Saccharomyces cerevisiae S288C: one gene and its partners. The gene in region 2 interacts genetically with the main gene of each other region. Each region holds a gene or a part of one and is shown on either strand. Other genes may lie near its edges.

Evidence for each region.
Region 1: mutations in COG6 (region 2) and VPS13 together harm fitness more than expected from each alone (negative genetic interaction), as found in Saccharomyces cerevisiae (5 studies listed by BioGRID).
Region 3: mutations in COG6 (region 2) and PSD1 together harm fitness more than expected from each alone (negative genetic interaction), as found in Saccharomyces cerevisiae (5 studies listed by BioGRID).

Annotation. Positions count from the first base shown.
Region 1 is NC_001144.5:60,646-65,524, forward strand, and holds the start of VPS13 (membrane morphogenesis protein VPS13), read right to left. Parts: upstream 3,001-4,879; coding exon 1-3,000. Other genes in the region: UBI4 (ubiquitin), read right to left, coding at 3,417-4,562.
Region 2 is NC_001146.8:548,577-553,864, forward strand, and holds COG6 (Golgi transport complex subunit COG6), read right to left. Parts: upstream 3,412-5,288; coding exon 892-3,411; downstream 1-891. Other genes in the region: BOP3 (Bop3p), read left to right, coding at 1-714; YNL040C-A (uncharacterized protein), read right to left, coding at 3,902-3,982; YNL040W (putative alanine--tRNA ligase), read left to right, coding at 4,804-5,288. UniProt on the Saccharomyces cerevisiae protein: Acts as a component of the peripheral membrane COG complex that is involved in intra-Golgi protein trafficking.
Region 3 is NC_001146.8:315,669-319,445, forward strand, and holds PSD1 (phosphatidylserine decarboxylase 1), read right to left. Parts: upstream 2,004-3,777; coding exon 501-2,003; downstream 1-500. Other genes in the region: APC1 (anaphase promoting complex subunit 1), read left to right, coding at 1-214; FMP41 (Fmp41p), read right to left, coding at 2,362-3,141; SKO1 (Sko1p), read right to left, coding at 3,748-3,777. UniProt on the Saccharomyces cerevisiae protein: Catalyzes the formation of phosphatidylethanolamine (PtdEtn) from phosphatidylserine (PtdSer). Plays a central role in phospholipid metabolism and in the interorganelle trafficking of phosphatidylserine.

The DNA of each region.
Region 1 (4,879 bases), on a different chromosome or scaffold from region 2:
ATCGTTATGAGGCACAATTCTCTGCACTCTCTTGTATTTTAGCGTAAACAAATCTTTTTGAGATCTTGTCACTTTTTCAACGCCGGATGATATCAAGTTTTTGAATTCCTTGTTATCAGTCAGCTCGATGTAATCTTCAACATCTAATGAATGTACTCTTAGATCTAAATTCATTTCTTTGGCTCTCTTATCAAAATTGAAATTTAGCCTTTGACACAATATATCAACCAATTTTTCGCTGTTTCTGGAATCATTTTTGATACATTGAAAGAATGCTATTTTCGCCTGATCGATATCAAAATGGAGCTCTAAGAATTTCTGTTCAATTTGAAGCGGCTGCATATTTTCTAACGCTTTCAAAGTATTCTTCAACTGCAATTGAATTTGCTTCTTCATTTCTTTTTCGGAACCAGAAGAGTAATTAACGTAATCGCCGTTGTTTTCTTCATCATCAATCATAGAAGGTATAGAATTAGCAATCAAATTCATAATAGTCTTGTATTGAATGTCATTTATGGAAAGACTTAAGCGAGGCAAATGACCAAAAACTCTTATCGTGGGTAATTTATATGCTTTAGGAAGGATTGATAGATCTACAGTTAACTCTAATTTCATTTTATCCAAGATTCTAAAATCATTCGTGGAAGAGGCGGTATTGATCTTACCTATAGTAGACTGAATATCAGGACCAACAAATATCTGAGTATCCTGAGATAAAATTTGGAACCTATCAAACATTAACCTATTGATTTCGTTACCGTCAATCTTGTCATATTCTTCCGGCGATAACTCTTTTATTTCCTTTATCTTCTCCTTTGGCACTAAATCACTGAGTATAGACATATGACCGGCATCAATGATCGCACAAGGGGTATCCCAATCATGTGGGTCTAACGGTAATATGATTAATGGTGCTTGTAAATCTAAAGATACATTTACGGTCTTGTGGTCTTCCAACAAAGACTCAATACCCATTCTTGTTTGTGTTGTCCAACCTTCTACAGTTGCCTCGGCGGCGTTTACGATATTGCCGATTGTTTCCATGTGTTGGTTTGACGCCTTAAAAAACTTGTGGACCTCTGTAATGAAATGAACGTGGTAAAACACAGTCATTCCCAATAACTTAATGTTTAAGTTCGAATCTGCTAATCCATCTAGTGGATTCAATTCAAATGAAGCACGTAATAAAGGTTCATCCTCTTCTTCTTCCTCCCCGGTAGCGTGGTTGTCAATTGAAGATTGATCTTTAGATGAGTTTCTGACACTAATGATATGTTTATATAACGCGTTGGGTGAGCCATCTTCGAGACTGAATTTGTTCAATTGGAAACTCGATAAAAATGAATCAGGTCTTTGAGCAAAATCAACTTTACAATTTTCAAAAATTATGGAACCCAAATTTAGATTTTGCTTCTTCTTTCGTATAGTGAATGAACCCTTTTTTAACAAACTCGTTACACGAAGTTCAACCCTTTCTCTAGGAACTTGCAGTACAGGACCTTTATCTTCATTCTCGTCAAATTCAATAGCATCATAAAGCTCCTGACGCTGTTCTTCAGTCATTATTAAATCTTCGTCTACTTCTTCTGTAGGTTTACCGTTCCACCAAGAAGAGAGCCAGCTTCCATTATTTTTAGTTGCGGACTTGTTGGAAGTTTGTGGTTCAATATTTGAGCTAGCTGTTGGTGTGGGTGAGTCTTCCGTCATGCCCAACTTATATTGCGCGTACTGTCTCTTAGCGACAGATCTGAAGAGAATAATTTCATCATACGTTAAATCTTTATGCAATTCAGATAATTGAGCCTCCTGAATGGGGTCACGTAGCGGAGCTTCTAAATTTTTTAACTTTAACTTTTCAACCCATAATTTTGTGTACAACCTCCGTTGTTCACATTTCTCCTTCATGCTTTCCCAAGTCCACATTTTGTTTTTTTCATGAATTTCATTAATAACACAAGCAGCAATGTATTTAAACCATTCTGTCGGGTTTTCACTAACTGCGAAGGATGGTCTTGCTTTCTTAAACTTTTTGGTAATTTGTCTTAACTGTATACTGGAGAGGACATGCAAGATATCATTATATTCTGTATCATCTAATTCTAAACCAAATTCATCATAAAACATTTGCAAGTCAATGTGAGGTTGTTCCTCCGTGGAACCCAGCTTGTTGATACTAAGCTTCCCTAGCCCGCTAACCGGTTTCAAAATGTATTGATGCTTGGGGGCAGTGGAATTTTTCGATGCAATCATATCTTTGAAACCCCTTACAAAATTTTCCAGGCTTCTATCTTGATCATCATCAGAAATCAAGGGCGGAGAGTCTGTATTCCAATACAAACAGAGTGAATTTAAAGTCAATAGTTTATGCGTGATATTCTGTGTAATATCAATGAAACTTGGAGCCCAGTTGGAATCTGTAGATACAGCTGATAGCTCGTTCAAAGTTAATCCAACGGAAGATGGGCCTGTAGTGAAGATTCCGTCCATGTCCTCGTACCTTAAATGGATATTTTTTATGGTAACTTGTAAATTGTCTATGATCTTTGTAGTCAAAGACTGCATAAACCCGGCGTTATTTTTTTCTGAAGAAGAAGAAGAGGTTTTGTTCTCTGATTGGGTACTCAGTATGCGAGCCTGATTTGTCAGTTCCCATTCACTTACCTTCCTCATCTTCAACCGAAAAGCTCTCTTTATCATCTCCTCATCATTTTCGTGATCTTCTGAACGTGGTGAGCATAATAAATAACAGTCCTCGATAATGATTTTCACGGGCTTATTCTTTAAACTTGACCATGGGACCGTTAAGACCAAATCACCCAGTATCCCTGATTTCACATCTATGGGTAAATTTAATGAGTCCAAACAGTCTTTTCTTAGTTTTAAGTTTTTTAACTTCACATCACCACTCCATATGCCGACATTTAATTGATTAGGGTCGAAATTTTCCACATATGAGCCTAGCAATCGGTTTAGCAAATTAGCAGCTAAAGACTCTAACATTTAACTGTTCTTAATTTTCCTTTTTTCTGCCTTTTCCCTTTTGGTAGTCACAATATTCTATCCGTATCAAATTAAATAGAGTTAAAAGGTTGACTCAATTGGTCGGCTTATGTGCGTTTACTGGAGATTGAAACATGATAGGACACTATAAAGGTGGTTTATATTCCCTAATAAAAATCCCTTTCTATCAAAATAGCTAATGGTATTACCCGGCTTCGCGAAAATAGTGAACGTCATAGTATAAGACGATTCAAAAATCCAAGCTCTTGAAAACCAACATGAATAAAGACAATAACACAGTTGAACAATTTATTTAGTGTTCTATGGAGTATTTATCAAAAAAAAAAAAAAACCAAAAAGAAAAAAGGAGAGTAAACATATATATATTGACATAATGAAAATATTGCGAGGACTGATCAGTTACCACCCCTCAACCTCAAGACAAGGTGAAGAGTGGACTCCTTTTGAATATTGTAGTCCGACAGCGTTCTACCATCTTCTAGTTGCTTACCGGCAAAAATCAATCTTTGCTGGTCTGGAGGAATACCTTCCTTGTCTTGAATTTTCGACTTAACGTTGTCAATAGTGTCAGAAGATTCAACCTCTAGGGTTATAGTCTTACCTGTCAGTGTCTTGACAAAAATTTGCATACCACCTCTCAGTCTCAACACCAAGTGAAGAGTAGATTCCTTTTGGATGTTGTAGTCAGACAAGGTTCTACCATCTTCTAGTTGCTTACCAGCAAAAATCAATCTCTGTTGATCCGGAGGGATACCTTCTTTATCTTGAATTTTACTTTTGACGTTGTCAATAGTGTCGGAAGATTCAACCTCTAGGGTTATAGTCTTCCCTGTTAGAGTTTTGACGAAAATTTGCATACCACCTCTCAATCTCAACACCAAATGCAACGTAGACTCTTTCTGAATGTTATAATCAGACAGCGTTCTACCGTCTTCCAGTTGCTTACCAGCAAAAATCAATCTTTGTTGATCTGGAGGAATACCTTCCTTGTCTTGAATTTTCGACTTAACGTTGTCGATAGTGTCAGAAGATTCAACCTCTAGGGTTATAGTCTTACCTGTCAGTGTCTTGACAAAAATTTGCATACCACCTCTCAGTCTCAACACCAAGTGAAGAGTAGATTCCTTTTGGATGTTGTAGTCAGACAAGGTTCTACCATCTTCTAGCTGCTTACCGGCAAAGATCAACCTCTGTTGATCCGGAGGGATACCTTCCTTGTCCTGGATTTTCGACTTAACGTTATCGATCGTGTCGGAGGATTCAACCTCTAAAGTGATGGTTTTACCGGTCAAAGTCTTAACAAAGATCTGCATACCACCTCTTAGCCTTAGCACAAGATGTAAGGTGGACTCCTTCTGAATGTTGTAATCAGACAGCGTTCTACCGTCTTCTAGCTGCTTACCGGCAAAGATCAATCTTTGTTGATCTGGAGGGATACCTTCCTTGTCTTGAATTTTCGACTTAACGTTGTCGATGGTATCGGAAGATTCAACTTCCAATGTTATGGTTTTACCGGTCAAAGTCTTGACGAAAATCTGCATAATCTATTAGTTAAAGTAAAGTGGGAGGGAGAGTTCGAGAGTTCTTGTCGTATTGTAGTAGATAGAAGATATACTTATCCTTATCCGTACAGTTCTTGCTCTTTCTGAAGTAGCACTTTCGGAAGAAGAAAGATAAGCAGGCGAATTCAAAGGTGGCAAAACCCGGAGCCTCTCTATATATACCCCCAAAAGGAGGAACCGCCCTCAAATGACACTGAATTCTAAAAACAACTGATAAGTGGCATCGCCCCTGAAAAAAGAAACGAAGTGGGGTAACCACCGTGTGTGGCCGGATGTACGGCTGTGTGATGCTCCAC
Region 2 (5,288 bases):
TCATCCTCTACCGGCGGTATATCACACTCCACAGTTACAAATGTACAACGAAGAGCTAATTCTCCTGCAAGAATAGGTGCATCCGCAGTTGCTGCGTTGAATGACAATATTTCCATTAAGGAGGAAGATGTGGCTAGGCGAATTCCCTCTGGTACAAAATCTCAAGAATCGCCTTTAAACAAGAAGCCGACTTCTCTTCACAGCCGTAACTTGTCACTTCCAATAGGAAAGTTCACCAATCCTAATATTCCTTCTACAATGACATCCATACTAAGTTTCAATAGAGACCAACAGCAGCCGCTATCTCAACCACTGCCTCCTCCTCCACAACAGCAACAGGATCTCCACACGCACAATTTACATACTATACCAAGGAAACCTGGAATGGTTCAAAAAAAGCATAGGCGTGCAAGATCCACATCCTCCTTTGGAGTGATCGATTTAAGTATTATCGATGAAGCAAAAGAAAAACAAGTACAGAGATCACCATCCCCTATACATTCTAACGTGTCCGTAGCACTTACCTCACATGACAAACCAATTGAATCCAATATGAAGGAACAACCAAATATGCTGCAATCGGTTCGTGAAGGACGTCAAGTACACGATGACTTGGATGACAGAACATGCAGTGAAAGCAGTAGTAGAAACGAAAGCCCCGTAAGAACCATCACAAAGGATAATTCTGTAGGCAAGATTTTAAATAGTACTTGAGTGATCATTATTTTCTTTTTGATGTTCCCCCTACGTATGTATACACCCATATATTATATAGATACCCGCCGCATACCAACATAAAAAAGGTAACAAATATTTGAGATATAGAGCATCGCTACATTATGGGCAAGATGCGTCTTTGTGAGACGATTTTAAACAGAAGTTGTTCATCTCTCAGTGATCAATACCTATCAACATGTCAAATTCATCAGTGGAAAAATTTAAAATTTCGAATACCTGATCCTTCTTGTTCGGATACAAATGAATCAACAGTTTCCTGAAGATATTATAAAATAGCGACAACTTCTTGAAACATTCATCGCATATTTCATCAGCTATCATTGGTGACGTTAATTTAAATAGTAAATTACCTTGAACATCTGTTAACGCCTGAGGTAGATAATAGTTCAACTTATCATGCACATTTTTTCTGACCATGTCTAATTCCATCAATGAATTATCCCTCAGGGCTAAGTACATATCATAATCCAATTCATCCTTTACTGAGTCCACAGGAAAAATCATATTGACCAAATTGCTGTAAAGGTCTAAACCTGTATTCTCAAATAGGAATTTTATTTGTAAAGTTAGCATTTGCTTAGTATATTCCTTCAGTTTATCACAAACCCAGATGGTGATTTTCCGGCTGTCATCATCTTGTGCAAACAATCCCTCAAAAGGTTGAAGTCTAGATTTAATTAAATCGAAACAGTTTATCTCTATAGTTAGCAATGATGCCTTTTCTTTTTCATTTTTTTTCGCCAAAGGAAAAGATGTTTGCAATTGTTTTAACAGAACATCTTTTATTGGTTGTTCTACAATTGTTTGTAAATTCTTAGATGAGAGCAATTTATTATCTTCTGATTCCTCATCTTCGGCAGCATGTGTCTTTTCATAAATTTCAAATAACTCTACCAATTTATTCATATACTCTGATAGCCACTCTGGTGGCAGTAAATCATCTGAAGAATTTTTTGTTTCCGCCATGACTGTTTGCTTCATATAGTCTTCATAGTATCCAATAATTCTGTTTTTGGAAATGTCTTCCAACGACTTTAAATTGTTAATAATAGAACTATCGTCCTGAATTCCCTTTCTCTCGAACATAACTCTGTAAAGTTTCAGCAGCCTCACAATCTCGAAATTGATGATCGGATTTTCTTCAAACCTCACGATTTGCTCGATACGAATACGACACGAATTGGATAGCGACTGGATGATATCGTTCAGCAATTTGTTGTCGATGCCTTTCAAGAATGTCTTGTTTTGTTGAAGTATAGAAATTGGGGTATCTTTTAAGTCTTCATCCTGAAAGTCAAATAGTGACTTCACGAAATCAGCTTCATTTGCGATGATGGAATGAACGGACGCTAGTACGTCACCAATATACCTAATTGGATCGTGTGCCGATAATATGATGGGTTTAGAGGTAGTTGAATTCATATCGAATTGAGACAAAAACTCATCCAGAATACTCTTGGATCTCAGTGTGGTCACTCTTTTCAACAACTCATTAAATAATTCTAGATCACTTGACAGGAAGACCAGACTCTTCCGAAAAATGTTTAAGCTTTCTTGTTCAGTAGTACCATGGTCATTTAATAAATTTGAAGAGGATTCAAAACTATATAAAAAATCGATCAAATAATTGAAGATTTTTTTGTTTGTCTTTTCTAAAATTTCATTAACTCCCATTATCAAAGCATTTCCAGCATTCAAATTAGGAAGCGTCAGCAAGAAACTTGATTCATCTTTAATATTGATTACTTTCTTTACTACCTCGAAAAAGATGTTGTCTATAGTACCATTGGTGATTACATCGTCCTCTACCTGATTCAAAGTAAACCTATCCCTTATAGATAACAGTATTTTTTTTTTCAGCTTCAACTGCTCTGCCTTTAAACGGTATTGATCTATTTCCTGAAGTACCACGTTATTTGTTGGAACCTCATTTGTCTCATTACTTAGTAATTTTTCGCTCGTTCTTTGTATTTTTTCGACGGAAGAAGATAATCGTTTAATCCTTCTAATGATAGGTTTGAATTCCTCAAGTACCGTAATATGTTCCTTTAGCAGTTGAGATTCCAAATCAGTCCTCAATGCTCTTCTTGCCAAAGTACCTACATATTCAGGATTCATGAGCTTTTGTTCATCAAGGGACAATCTCTCTTTATTCTCTTCTAGAACCTTTAGGGATTTTCTTAGTTGGACTGTGGCCTGATAGTTAATCAATGTGTAATTGTTCAATATCTTGGATAGTTTATTCGAAAGAACCAAATTTGTGGTATTTTTGTTGGAACCACTTGACGGGGATACTAATTTTGATAAATCAAGGTTTTTTGGCTCGTAATTCGTGAAATTTTGAGATTCTTGCTGCGATAGTTTTTCATCCTGGGAATTTTGCCCTAATTGTTTGCTTGGATTTGAAAGCTGTATTTTATCAATGGAAGACATTGCGTAATGTGTCATTTTCTTATGTAGGTCTTTCGAACCAGCACCATCATTATCTACTGGCAAAGTTGCATTATTATTGGAATAACGTTGAAGGTCGGGCAACTTAAACTGTAGATCTAGTTTACCGGTGGGCTGTGACTGTGCATCTGAGGTTAAGTTTAGTCTTGGCTCAGGTTCTGGTAATTCTGGCGTGGCAGTATCCGCCATTGCGTAGGTCTGATAGTCTACAACGAAATCCATTGTGAGTAAACTTCACTGGGGATTTTGTTACGATAATGTACAATATACTTCAGATACTACAGCTTTCGGATGAATATTTACTAGAATGAATTACTACCTTAGATGTATATTTTGTATGAAAGCGTCATTACGCCAGTTGTATGTATTTTGTCGTCTGAGACGGCAGGTGATATATAAGTAAAATGGAAGTATAAACGAACAGAAAGCAATCATTAACAATTTACTTATAGATTTCGACTAACATACGCATCGGTAGGATTAGATACCAGTTTTTGAAATCCAATTTTTCCCTCGTATATGGAATGTGCTGAGAGTTTTCCTCAGGGATATGCGTATCAACAAAAGAGAGGTGGTAATACATGCAATCATATAGCGGTTTGTTTCTTTAATACTATATGTTGTCACTTATAATCCTGTTATATTATTGATCTTTAGGTTTCAGCTGATCCTTCTAATATCCCTCTATTGGTTTCGTAATTCGTGTTATCCTTTAAGAAGATCCTAGCGACATAATCATACTATCAACTGTTATGTTACCGTTTGGTGAACAGTTGGCTTTTTGCTCCGGCATTTTTGATTAAAAATAGGCTCTTGTTAAGCTACTGGAATTTTTCTATATTACCAGGCTACTCTTGATATGGCACCGGAATGTAATAGGAGTTACAAGACCATTTCAAGTTAAAGAAAAATTACTGGAAAAAGGGTAGTAACGTACGTGGACGAAATAAATAAGAAGGACGTAAATTTAATACAAATGCACAAGTAAAGTTATCGGCTCCTATTCTTCACTAATTCCATGCATATTAAGAACTGCTGGAATAAGAATTGACCGTTGCTTATTGACTAGTGGCCATGTTACTAGTATACCTATCACACACAATGTAAGAAAGTGACATAAGCCATGAGATACAATCTCAAATCTAGTAAAAGCCGAAATACAAGAACTGATGATGTAACAGAGTAATGCATAACAACGTGCAATGCAAAGGAAGAAATAATAGTGTTATTACGTAGGACATTGATTTCCTGTCATGACTATTATATCCTCAATGAGCGCATATAATGCATTCTGTATATTCAATAATACCACCTTATCAAATAACGAATACCATCGATTATCAGTAAATTCATGTATCACTCGCGTAAATTCTGAAATTCAGCCCACTAGGAAGACGTTTATATCAGTTTACTTTTGTACAAGTGACTTATTGCAAGCAATTTGTACGAAATATGCTTACACTTTTCATTAGTAAAAGAACCAACCACCCATCATTAACATCTTTTTATTTTTTATCCTTATCGTGTAAAAAAAACTTAAGAATAGACATCCTGGTGACGCATATCGACGAAAGCACACAACAGCGTCAAAAATTGATTAAAAGGTAAGTTATCATGCCCACACCTATGACGCCTGTCAAGGTCGGCGCTTTAGCCTGCCAGAGGAACTCATTTCTCTTCGATGGGTTCAAAACACTGGTTGTTTCTTGCGAACCAACGAAGAATAAAAAGGGAGAGATTGAAGGTTATGAGATTGAACTACAAGATACTATTCTGTTCCCCGAAGGTGGGGGCCAACCAAGTGATTCTGGTTTTTTGAAAATTGTTGAAGGGAATCGTAATTCGTCGAAAATTGAGAAGATATTAGTTTCACACGTTTCTCGTTTCGGTTTACATGCAAAGCATCATGTCAATGACTACATTGAGCCCGGAACAACAGTGGAAGTGGCCGTGGACGAGCAAAAGAGAATGGATTATATGCAACAACATACTGGTCAACACTTGTTAAGTGCCATTCTGGAACGCAACTACAAAGTAGACACTGTATCTTGGTCGATGGGTGGTATCATCACAAAGAAAAAACCTGTTCTAGAGCCTAG
Region 3 (3,777 bases), 230 kb from region 2:
AAATACCACCTCTTCGCAACTGGTTGAAAGTTTGGGTATTCAAGATTTGACAATGGTGGAACTCGATACTCTTTTGAGTGCAGGAAATAATACAGCATTAACGGATTCAGAATCTTATAATTTAGGTTTGCTGTGTTCAGATAAAAACAGTGGAGATATTTTGGATTGCCAACTCGAATTGTGGTACAAAAGCTTTGGACCACATGATGAATAATGCAAAACTCAAGAATATTTATTTGGGTATCTAAGACTAGCTTTAAAAGGTTCCAAAACTGGGGTAAGGTGTAATCTTTGTGTATAACTTGGTTTATGAAAGGGGTACATGACATGGCTAAAATTCTTCAGACGAACATCTTTAATCTAAAGTTTACATCTAACAAGTCCAATCTGAAAAATGTACAGCGTATAATTTTACATACCTCCAAAAGAAGAATTAAATCAAAGTGTGCAGATAATACTATATACAGCAAAATAAATGCTAACTTTACATATGATTGCTTTCATTTTAAATCATTCTTTCCAATTATGCCTAATTTCTGTCCCATCTTAACCTTATCACCAACCCTAACATCGAACTTAAATTCAGTGGGAGCTTCAAAACAAAGTACAACAGTGCTACCCAATTCAAAGCCACCCATTTCTTCACCCTTAACCAAAGGCATCCCTCCCAATATTTTACTTGCATTCTCATATACTGCCTGGTAGCAGGTATGTGGTTCCAAGTGTTTGTCGCTCTTTGAATTTGTCACAAATTCTTGATCAAAATTCAACTTGATTGAACCAACATTTGTTGCACCAACAGGAGTCATGCTAAAAAATCCGTACTTCCAACTACCCAACAAAGCAACTCTTTCATTTAGAACGAAAAGATTAGGGAAGTTACGCTGGAAATAAGGTGCCACGGAGAATAAATCACCTGGGAAATGGCGGCGAACCTTACAAACCCAGTCAACTGGAGAGTGGAAATGATGGTAATCACCGGGAGCCAAATAAATGACGGCAAAGAAAAGTTCCGTATCATGAGGCTCAGAGCACGAAAACCCATTAGAGAAGTAGTTTAAAGAAAGTTGACTTAAAAGATGTATATTTTTGGACACACTTGGTTTGAACTCTCGAACAGATTGATCGCCCTCGTTTTTAAAGTTAAGAAGAGGCTGTTCAGTGTCTTCGGAACCCGCTAATTGTATTCTATTTACCCTGGCGAATTCTCTATGCTTTTCCTCATCAGAAGTCAAATCTAGACTAGATGCACTCTTAGACATCAAGGGGTGGGAGTGAGTGCCAAGGAATTCTTTGATGGAATATGTCATTCCCTTGACTTGTTCGATTTCGCCAGTTTCAGAGTTGATTATACCAACTTGTAAAATCTTTCCATCACTTGGAGAAGCTATAACGTCTTCGCCTTGTGCTACTGGACGTGTGCCTGGTTTTATGTTACGATAGAAAAATTCGGATAAATTTGCATAATGTGTCAAATCAGGATCTTCCATCTCGTCCAAGTTAACTCCAAAAAGGAAAGAATATAACCTGTAACCCCATGGTCTAACCCAAATGGGTAACGTAAGAGAATTTACTTGGCCCCATAATCGAGACATCGCATTCAGCGGTAAAGTAGAATAGCAGAAAAAGAGCCAATTATTGTTAAATATTTTGATTTTTCTTGTCCTTCTCCCTTTTTTGCCCTCTGTAGCATCCTCCTCTGTACTATCATTCCTTGACACTAGTAAAATGGTTCCTAGAACAATGGTGAAACTAGTTAAAACAACCCATTTCATGGAGACCTGTTTTCTTCCGCTATTTGCGGCAGCAGCTTTGGCACGATCCACAATCTCTCCAGAACTGCGTCGTTGCTGAACGAAAAGACGCGTGGAAAACTTTCTATTCCATAGCACCGCAGTTCTATTTCTTAATTGCATTCTTGTAGAAAACTTTACAGCAGGCATCCTCCCCATGAGGAGCGTCCTCCCTTGCGCCAAGGCGTTCTTAACTGGCATAATTGACATGCTGGCTTTGCTTTTCCTTCTTCTTCAAAAAATAACGACCAAGAAGGATTTGAGCGATCTGCTAACAACTGGCTGAAGAGTCCTTAAAGCGCTACGTACCTCTAGGCGTCTCTTTTGTGAGTAAGCTGTTTTATATTATAGGTGAAGAACAAATTTTCCACATGCTTGTGCCTGCTTTAGATGTCCCTTGACCTCGAGATTTGAAAAAACACCAAAAAGGTGCTGGTTACCCTGCATGTGATATGTGATTACATAGCGTAGCGTATACAGAAGCACAATTGGTCGTATATGTGCCAAGCTTGTAGGAAATTAGTAACGCATAACGTGTTATCTGCGACAAGCGTGAATGCGACAGACATTATGTTTCTCTAAATTCATATGGTCCCGGCCGATTTTCACATTCGAAGTTCATGTCGACAATATTGTCATTATTCTGCAATAGCTCACAGTGAACACGGTCACCAGGCTTTAACTCGCCTACACCTGCAGGTGTACCAGTCAAAATGATATCACCCGGTTCCAGAGATATCATGGTAGATATGTGTTGCAGTATTTTATGGAGTGGGTGCAACATGAGGTTAGTACCACCATCTTGTCTCAACTGTCCGTTAACAGAGCACTTGACTCTGAAAATATCCTGTAAGTTTGATTTGTAGGATGAGAACTTCTCGCGGGAGACTATAGCAGAGATTGGCATGAAGGTGTCAAAACCCTTGCTTATAGTCCAAGGTAGCCCCTTCTTTTTGGCTTCATCTTGGACATTTCTTGCTGTAAGATCCAATGCTAGAGCTACACCACTAATAGAGTCATAGACTTCTTCGGGTTTCATCTTAGTGACATTGGACAAATGTTTGCTCACAATCAATGCCAACTCAATTTCGTGATGAACCTTCACACCGCGTGGGATAAAAATGGGCCCGGGGTTAGTTCCGTCTTCATTTAAACCATTGAAAGTCGAGTTTGCAGGTCTAGTGGTCTTGACCAATGATGAAGACAATGGTGTCACAATACTCGAGGTTGGTTTTAGGAAAAAAAACGGTTGTTTTGGAGTTGAATTGTTCAGCTCTTTGATATGCGCTGCGTAATTACGCCCAATGCATATAATTTTTCTAGCTGCCTTCAAATAATTGTAGCTCATAACGTTTTGGCAATTTCCTGAGTCTTTACTCGATAGCTTTCAGAATATTTCTATATAGGAAGTTCTGGCTGAAACGTTTTTCCTTATCAGTTAGAGAACGGTGACCATCTCTTGAAAGCGAACAAAAAAACGTGAGGCTAAGGAAGCTATTTAGGAAAATAGACGAAAAAGGAATGGCAAAAGAAGGAATGGCCCTTTCAAAATAGGTATAAGCAGCACAGCTTGATACATGCTAGGGTTGCAGCAGTATAACTGTACTCTCTTTATGAGCGTAGTGAAAAGACGGTGAAATTATAACGGTATGCTCTATGAAGAATAAATGCTGTAGGAAAATTTACGATAATAAAGCCTTTATTGTTGTTGATCAACAAAAGGAGGCTTAAGCAATTGATAAACTTCTGAAAAGAAGAACCCTATTAAAGTTTATATCAAATATAGAAAAAAAAATCTTGAAGTTACATAAATACAGAAAAAAGCGGGAGAATAAAAGGGATTTCCTCTTAAAAGGAACTTTATAGTGGAATATTTGCAATGAGAAAAGCGGACAGGTTGAAGAGTACGAAAGCATCAGATAGAAGACTATTTAAGAACCCCGTCGCTATCTCGTCAATTATTGTGAGGTAGAGTGGATAGTAC